Linked DNA regions of Drosophila melanogaster. The protein of the gene in region 1 interacts with the protein of each later gene in a pairwise test. Each region holds a gene or a part of one and is shown in the gene's direction. Other genes may lie near its edges.

Evidence for each region.
Region 2: the proteins of bi (region 1) and CG42807 interact in a two-hybrid assay, tested with the Drosophila melanogaster proteins (one large-scale study listed by BioGRID).

What each region holds. Positions count from the first base shown.
Region 1 is NC_004354.4:4,411,153-4,416,093, forward strand, and holds the start of bi (bifid), read left to right. Parts: upstream 1-1,703; 5' UTR 1,704-1,768; intron 1,769-2,309; exon of another isoform or gene 2,310-2,747; intron 2,748-4,941. UniProt on the Drosophila melanogaster protein: Essential protein that may function as a transcription regulator. Vital for pupal development. Required for proper development of the optic lobes and wings, and abdominal pigmentation.
Region 2 is NT_033778.4:13,569,828-13,574,540, reverse strand, and holds CG42807 (uncharacterized protein), read left to right. Parts: upstream 1-1,781; 5' UTR 1,782-2,010; coding exon 2,011-2,511; intron 2,512-2,575; coding exon 2,576-2,911; 3' UTR 2,912-3,946; downstream 3,947-4,713. Other genes in the region: CG42808 (uncharacterized protein), read left to right, coding at 359-766.

The sequences.
Region 1 (4,941 bases):
TTTATTTTTCAAAGTTCTGTGCTTCTATTATTTCTCCAAATTTTAGCTCCCTTTTCCGAATTTGAGCCTAAAATTTCGCGCCAAAAAACCGAATAAAGCCATATAGGTGAAGTGGAAACTGAGAAATAAGGGACACGAGAAGGCACGGAGACGGAAAAGGACATTTTTGCCTGTGTGACAAAATCGCTGACTACGTGTGTGTGCGTGTTTTCCTTCTCGCCATGTAACGCTATCTCGCTTCTACACGCACACACATGAACACAAGCCCGAGACTCCGCCCACTAAGCGATCGCGATGAGATGAGAAAAAAACTCACCACAGTCCGGTAAAAAACGCTCAACTCACTCACTCAGTCATACACACACACACACACATTCACTCGCTCTCCCACTCTTTCTCACCGAGAATGCGCATTCCCTCTGGCACTTGCCTTCTCGTTCTTGCGCACATGAAACTGTGTAAAATGGTCGCCTTGCAGGGGGCGTTGCTTTATGGCCGTCTTTTTCGCACCCATGCGAAAGTGCCGCAGTGTGAGCGAGAGGGAATGCGTTTGTGGATGGAGGTTTTGAAAGCAAGAGTAGAGAAGATGCGACGTTGTAAACGAATTTGCATATTTCTACTGCTTTACGCTTATTGCATATTTTATTCATTACGTTCTGGCGCTTCGGCGGATGAAAACCCAAGAAAAGGCGAAAAGCGAAGGAAAGTGTCATATGGCATTCCGACTACCGTTAGCTCTGCGTGACATCGGTCCTCCCTTTCGCACGCACAATCTTCATCCTTCTTTTTGCTTCTTGTTGAGCTTCTTCCTTTTTTAAGCTTTATAATTTATAAATTCGTTAATATATAAAAAAAAAGTTGCTTAAAATTCTAAATTCTCAGTTCAAGATATAAAAAATTCAACAATTATTCCTACGAAAATCCTTTTAAATAATTTCTTATAAGCTGTTAGCTCAATCTGAATACAGTCCCAACTATCTCTGGTTTTGTATATTTTTTCTGTAACTTAGAATTAATATTTAGTGTTTTTTTTAAAGCTGAGCTTTTTGTTTTTACTTTCATTTGATTACCAAGTATTTCCAACCCAAATATATACATATATATATGGTATATATATTACTTAACTAATAGCTACAATCATATTTACGTCTTAAAAGGATTCTTAGCTGTTTTAATATCTTAAAGCTGTTTCCAGATTTCATATACTTAAGGTCATAACAATGCCAACATCCTAGTTTGTTTTTTATTTGGCTCCTTTTACCCGAAATTGGTTCCACGTATTTCTGCAAATTTGTTTATTTTCGCTTGGCAGCGACTTAATCTGTGCTCCAGTTTTTCGTAGTATCCCCCCCCAAAAAAAATGGACACCATACACACACACATTTAACGGTTAAGCCGTTGTCCTTTTTTCCCAAGAAGTCAAAGGATGCGATTCGAATGTGCGTGAGTTATCCGGCGTGTTGTTATCCTGGCTCGGACCAAATAGGATACAAAAAAAACCTAGCATAAACCGGTTCTGAGTAAGTGCTCAATTACTCACACACACACACACACACATGCAAAGAAGTGCTCACTCAAAACGAAGCGAAACGAGGCGAATTCGTGCCTCTGCCTCTGCCGACGTCGACTGTGCTGCCGTGGTGGGTTTTGTGAAGCAAAGCGTCGAGCAGAGTGGCGAATAGCGTCATTCAAAATTGGAATTCTGTTAGTAAACGTCGACACTTCATATGAAACGAAGAGCGGAGATCACAGCGGAAAATCCAGGGGTGTACGTGGGTTTAAAACGCACAGAGGGATTTCACTCAAAGAAAGAAAGAATACGTTTATACTTATATAGGGTTAGACCAGGAGGGTAGGCTACGTATAAAGACAAGAAGAAGGAAAGCAAAGAAAGAATGGCCTCGCCAAGTAAAGCTGAGAGCATAGAGTGTAGGGATTACACAGAAGGGCTTTAAAAAGAAAATATGTAACCCACAAAATAGCAACTACAAGACTACCCACGACTTGGGTGTCAAAATGCTTGTCATTCGACAGCACGGCGAGGGGGAAAACCTATGCTAAGCTGGCCTTAGCTTTTTTGCCCGCGTGTGGTGAACATAACACGGGCCAACCCACCTCCCCCCACGCGATGGGGATTCCCCACTTTCGCATTCTGCCGGCGTCGCTGCGAACGTCGCTGCCGGCTTCTTGCACTTTGGCGCTCGGCGTCGTCTTGGCCCGGTTATTTGTTGTTTTTTTTTTTTTTTTCGTTTTTCGGGCTTTTCGGCTTTTTGGATCGTTCTCGGCCAGCAGTCGCCGCCTGTCACACGCTCACGTCAAACGCTTTTGCCGTCGCGTCGTCAGATAAACCAAATGTCTCGCCGTGTTTACGTGTGATTCCCCTTTTTTGCTTCAATCCGAAGGCAAAATAAATACACTGACCTTAACCGATACGGCTCACCGTTTAACCGCTAACCGTTAACCGTTTCGTGGCCGTCGACGATAAGGAATCAAGAAACAACATCACCCTGCAGATTCTGTTTTGTTTTGTTTTTTTGTGCAGTCCAGAATTTTTTGAAAACCTGACAAGATTAAAGAAAATTGTGTTTGAAAAGTGCGTAAAGTGTGGAGTATTTAAACTTAAAAAAAAAAACATATATAAAAATCAAACAACAGCAAGGTGGGAGGTCCAAAGAATATAAATAAAAAACACACTGGTTTCCGCCTGAGATTTTCAAAATACCGTTTCAGATCATGAAAACATAATGGTATACAAATATATTATGTTTATGCTGCCCTTGGAAATAAATAGTATACTATCAAAAAAATCTACTCCTTGGTTTTTCCCTACTTGAGAAATGAGAAATTTACAAACATTAAATGTAGAACTACTGATAATTACTTTCAATATTTTGGTGATCCAATGAGTTAATAGGAAAGTCCTTAAACAAAGCGTGGTGGAACTCCTTCCCATTATGATAATCACATCGCATAACACCAGGGAGATTGTCTAGATTGATTGATCCAACCCCCAGGAGATTCCCCATCCCGATCTGCTCAAGCGCAACGAAATCGGAACCATTATCCAATTAGCTAACTCTTTCCGAACCCGTATCATCAGTTTATCGCCTCGTCAATTGTTTTCTCATACTTTTTTCGCTACTTAACTGATGTGACAATTTGTAGCCATTAGCCGGAGGCAGTCAGTCAAACAGTCGCTAGATTTGCAAGTTGTTCAGGCATGACAAAACAAAAAAGAAAAAAAAAAAAAAACTATATATATGCAATGTATGGCGATGGATAAGGGGGGGGGGGAGAGTTGGGGAGCGGGGTTCCGGAGACGAGATCACGATCGCATCTCGACACGCAGCTAAAAGTGTAAATCAGCTCGCCTTCCATTATGTCAACAATCTCTTTGTCTGTCCGTATTATTTACATTTGTCAAATCAAATTTGACAGCTGCGGAAAACATAATATCTCAAGTCGGCGTCTGCGGCACAGTCCGGTTTTTTGTATGGGGCCTTATTCAATAGGGAGGGGATCAAGGGGATTCGCGGAGGAGATCGTAGCCGCCTAGGACCACCGATACAAACTTGTATTCAGAACTGGATTTGTCGCTTCGCTCTGTTGTGCCAAACGAACTGAGCCATGAACACAAGAATGAATACTTGGCCAAGCACTCGATCAATCTGGTCTCACACAAAGTTCTTTCACTTGAAGATGTACAAAAATAATTAGACATTTTTCTATTTATCTATTGTTATACGGAAAAGGATTTAAAACGTGCAAACATTTTGACTACTTGTTCTAATTTCGAAATACTAAGCCTGAAAATCAAGGATATTTATAAATCTAATATTCCAAGCCACTGGCTATTATCATTCGCGTTTACAGAGCAATGTTTTGTAGGAAAGGATTTTCCCCAGCACCAAAATAATTTTCTCTTTCGAGTAGTTTATTGCACTGCTTATTAGCGATTAGTGACTTTTATGACTGTTTAGAAACGTAGTACTCAACCCTTTTCGAAAGTAGGTAACAACCCTTAACCATTTGTATTACATATTAGAGAATGTTTTCTTCTTGTTTCCGAGGGAACATGCATTTTCTTTTTGATCCTCATTTAGTAGGGATTACATTATTACACAGTTGGAAATATATATTGTCTTGATCGAATTACGGAATTAAGTGTTATATATACCTAAAATAGTTCCAAAATACCACAACACATAATACCTATATCTTTTGCTGACTTCACCAATTAATTGGTGAGGTTTCCAGTCGGGGTTGTTCGTTGGTAAGCTGCTAACGGACTTATGACATGGATATGGCTATGATTCGGGAATCACGATTCAGTATTCCGTATTCCGTATTCGGTGGGGTATGTACTGTGTACTCTGCTACTATAAAATGCCAGCTCCATTGTTGTTGCTACAACCGGCGGAAGAAAACGGAAGAGGGGATTGTATTTTTTGGATTTCGGGAATTGGGAATGGCCTGGATGCGGCACTTATCCTTGTTTTTTTTTTTTTTTTGGGGTTGAAGGCAACAAACACACTGCACACTTAACCGATAAATACGCACCACATCTATATTATATGTGTGTGTACATACTCGTATATGGATGCGTGTACGTTTGTACATCCGATGGACAGATCCTTTGTATCCTGCTATCCTGGCTCTATCTATTGACTGACTAACACGCCAGCTGACTTGGCAGGGGAGGAAGAAGCCAAGCGCTGGGGAAGTAGAACCTGGTCCTGCTGTCTCGTGCAAAGCTGACTGACATCCAGCAACTTCCTTTGGCCTCAGACTTCAGCAGCACTCACGCAATTTTCCTCCACACAAAAACCCCCACCTAGCTGATGATGGCTTGCCGGGGGTGGTTCTCATTCGGGCGATTTTCCAACGTGTTGTAATCCCATTTGCAGGATTGCGGATTCAGGAATCAATTACGAATTTAAT
Region 2 (4,713 bases), on another chromosome or scaffold:
TTTCTAGTAGAAATGTAGAAGTTTTTATCCTCTTTTTTTAACCTTTTCACCCGTTTGACATCGAACATTTTCTGCCAGTGTCTGAGTGTCTGAACCCGTTTGAAGCTGTCGGAAGAAATCGCGTTAAGATCCGCGCCCCTGACGTCAGCGATTCAAAATACGAGCAAAACAAATGGAAATCGCGGGGGTCGACTCTCTGCGGCAAATAACAATCATTTACATGACGAGTTTTGCGCTCAAACAAGGTGAAATCATATTTTAGAATAAGACCTGCTCGAATGCGACTCAATCGTGTTTGCAATCTCGTTGTGAATAGATCGAACTGTTGGAAAAGTAAAAACAAAAACAGAGTTCAAAAATGCCGCTGCGCAAGAAAGAGGACTACATACCCATTAAGTGCGAGGGCTGGAACGGCAAGTTCGTGTATCCGGATGGAGCTGTCAATAATGTGTCCAAGATACGTCGCCAGAACCAGAACGTAACCAATACCAACAACTTCTACGGATTCAACACGGAACCCATTGTCCTGCCCACCGAATGGGATGGCACCTTCGTGAAGAGTGGCGAGACCCGCATCAAACAGGAGCGCAATCGATCCGATGACCAGGACTACTTTGATTACAACACCGAGCCCACGGTACTGCCCACCACTTGGAGTGGCGAGTTCGTCAACGATCCCAACGATGTGCGCATTAAGCCGGAACGCAACTTCTCGGATGCCAGGGATTATGCAGAGGCATCCCGATTCAAACTGGTCCAGCACTGAGTGAGATCCCGATCCGCCCGTTTCAATCAAACTAATCCTGCAAATGTTGCGTTTGTTTCGGTTTCGCATTGTAATTGTCGCCTAACCTAAGCGTTTGTTGTATTTTATTTTTTATGATATTTATTCGTATACTTAATAAACCAAAAAAAAAAAACACTGAAATACTAGAAAGTTCCGTTCCGCAATCGCCTTGGTGGATTTGCAGTGGGCGGTGGCAATAATTAGTGGCCTTTTATGGACAATAATTCGATCAGGTTTGCAAAATCATTTAAATAGCAAGGTATATCGACATATTGTTAATCAGATATCCATTACAGCAAGTGAAAGTGCGAGAAAGAATTTTCAAACTTTTTATTGAGATTCGATTAAAATTTGCAAGCAAAATAATAAAACAAATAAGAAAAAGCGTTTTTAAAAATTGTTATTATAGTATTTGTTGAGATCAACAACAAATGGGGATTGCCTTTTATGAGGTGTATGGAAAACAGCATTTAGATTACAAATTACATATATGCATCATTCGCTGATAATACTCACATTCATTATGTCGCGATTAAGCCGTGTGACTTCCCACTGATTTGTCCATTGAAAATACAAACACTTTTAAATTATAAAATTTTGGAAAGCAAATTGAACATTCATTCAGGAACTCATTTTCGAAACTGCTCTACACTTTGAACAACCTTTTCGAGTTGAAAAAAACGCTGGTATTTCAAAGTTATCGCACAACTTATTAGGTTGTTAAAAAATACAATTTACGAAACAATTACAAATGTTCGCATAGTATTCACTTCCTGACCAGACCCAACAGAAGGAATGTTCTTGCCATTTTGTAATATGATATTTTGAACCATTCATACAAACTGTTTTTGTGTGAGTCCCCAATCAATAAAAACTTCCTTATTGACACACGTTGACGTTCCCATTAAATAACCTTGTTTAGAGCTTTAAGTTGGCACACGTAATTAATTTTTAACTTTTCGCCTATAAAAGGCCCCGATAAGAGAGGATAACCACACAAATTCTTAGGAACAACGGCCAAACCTTATGTAAACAATTCTTGAGTTGAAAAGTAAATGAAAGCCAATTAAATATAGAGGCGGATTTCGGAGCTTGCAAATAAAATTCATTATGGGGGAGCCGCAGCTGATACGACGACTTTTGCAGGGGAAGTACGTAGAGTGATAAGAAAGTAGAGAGTATATATAAACAGAGGCTTCCCAATCGTTCGGCACACAGTCAAGATGCAGAGCTTTCTGGGAGTAGCAATCATTCTGGCTCTTCTGAGCCTGGTGGCTAGCCAGGCGCAGAACAGCTCCCAGTCCATGGATCTCTATATACTCCAGAATCAGCGGCAATATGACGCGAAGATCAAACAGCTGGCAGATGAATTAGCCAATTTTAAGCAGCTATTTCAGAAGCAAATCAATGCGCTCGATGTGCAAGCAGATTCGATGCAGCTAAAATTGGAACAAGCCTCCGCTCACCTGGATCCCATTATCCTGATCGATTCCTGGAGCAAACAATGCGTACAGAACTATAGTGTTACTATACCAACGATCACCGTGGCCAGGGACTCCATTATCAAGTGTAAGGAAAGTATTAGTGGCATTTTAAATGCACCTGAGAGCACCTACAACACCCTGAATAACTACTATAAAAATAACGTGAAGAATGGTTTGGCACAATGCCTAAAACTTCATCCAACTGCCCAGTTAAATTACACACTCTGTGTAACCAAGGTGGTAAGTATTACAACTTTCTATATTATTAAGAGCAGAATCCTGAGACTTCTTTTTACACTTGCAGATTGGTGATGCCAATAAGTATACCATCACCACACAGAATACTTTCAATACCAACCTGAAGAGTTCGGAATGCACGGCTGATAATCGCATTAGGAACTCCTGGCAGTGCTCCTTTGGCCAGGTGTACTCTATTACCTCCAAAGTGGAACTGGCGCTGCAACTCATCGACTCCTGCATTTCCAATAAGGTGATCTGTGGATCCTTTGAAGAGCAATCGTGTCCGAATAAGTCATATGTTTCTCTGTCGGAGATCAATCCTCGCAACGATACCATCCGGAATCCCTTCAAGTTTGTAACCAATGCTATGAGCTGTGTAGAGGTCCTGATCAGCAGTTAAAGTATCCTTACATAAATCAAATTCATTCGAGTCAATGAAAATATTACAGCATTTATTAATTTGTATAGCTTTTGATGTTTAAATAAATATAAATACTATTACCAGCATTATAAATATGTACTTTGCTCTATAAAGTTTTGATAAGAAAACTTGAAGTGCTGTTTCCAGAAGCGAATTAATAAAAATATATAAACTAAGTAGATTATTAAGCAAAACCAAGATAAATAAGTACATATAGTTAAAAAGATTTTATAGCCTCTTTAATTAGCACCAAAAACTGCCAGCTGGGTAAACATTGTATTGTTTATGAAGATTATAAAGCGAATTCGTAGCACCACCTGCTCCATCCAAATTATAAAGCCTCGTGGTTTATTACTTGGTTTATCAATTTTGAAAAAAAAAGAAGTAAAAAAGGAAAGATGCCAGTTCCAACCAATTCACCAGGAGCACAGAATCATTTCAGTGGACTCTTGAGTACCAACGCAAAATAAGATGACAAACTGGATTTGGACCTTTTTCAGGTACCCGCACGAACCATTTCTGGAATTTGAGCCACTCAAAGGGACCGCTGCAACATTCCAAGCCTTAGAAATAATTCCTCGAATTTGGAGTCACATAAAACCAGAGATCGCTTTGTGTGTGGGTTTTCATTCTAACGTTTCCACATTCCCCGTCCCGATTCCACAATCTGGATGGCAGATGCGTGAGAACAATGATCGGCACAGGCTAAAGAAAATCGTGGTTGGTGTAGTCCCAAAATCATGAAAAGATCTCTTGACACGGGCTGACCGTGTGAAATATTAGAGATGCTTGGGAAACCTCGGAAAATATCTAACAGGCTGACAGTAAAATTAGCACGCCACTACGGGAAATCGAATGAAAATGTGATAGAGCAGGTAGCTAGCACATGTGGAAGCACTGGGAAAATTCGTGAGAATTTTCTGTCTTTGATCCTTTCATTGTTGGCCCTTTGGGACGTTATGGGAAAATGAATTTTCAGCGTGTGAAAATGTTCAAAATTGCTTATAATTTGTTAAGTTTTCGATCAGGAAATCAGAAACGAAAACAGCAGTTGCTGGAAAATCTGGAAATCTTCAAAGAACTGCAGGCAGGACTTGTTGCATAAGAAGAAAATCAAACTATTCTGATCCTTGATCTTTTAAAGATCGTGAGAATTCTTAAAATTTGAAGACACCCCTGAAGAATCATGTAATAGGCCCACAGCAATTTCGGTAGCATTTTAAGAAGAAAAGCCGAAGAATTCTACCTGCACGCGGCATGGGAAAGTGCAGCTGAAATCTTTTCGAAAAAGAAGACCTCCCACATAAAAAGAATCATAAAAAAGCGGGATGCCCTAAGAATTTGAAGATGCAGCTGGTGAAGCTGTGGGAAAATGCAATCTATACATCTGTCCCGATCGTGTGAATTTTCCAAAATTGTTGTGTAAATGGAAAACTCTTCTACCAGGGCATCAGCGAAAATGGTAGCATTACCACAGAGTTTTCCCAAAAGAATCTCTACCTGTTGCTCGAGTCTGGAAAATGCAGCTGAAAATGCAGCACGGTACAAAGGAGCACCCTTTTTCCAAGAAACCTGTTGATTTCACATGGAAACCTTACGTCCTTTGTTTAAAAAACGGTCTTTCTACAAATTAAGATCTATTCAGTTGCAACCACTGCAGCTGTGGGAAAATGTTCATCTGCTTTTGGTCCACCAACCGTGTGAATTTTCCGGTCCAGATGTTTACAATGTAAACATTGCCACCAGGCAAACAGGAAAAACAGCAGAACGTGCCACTGAGT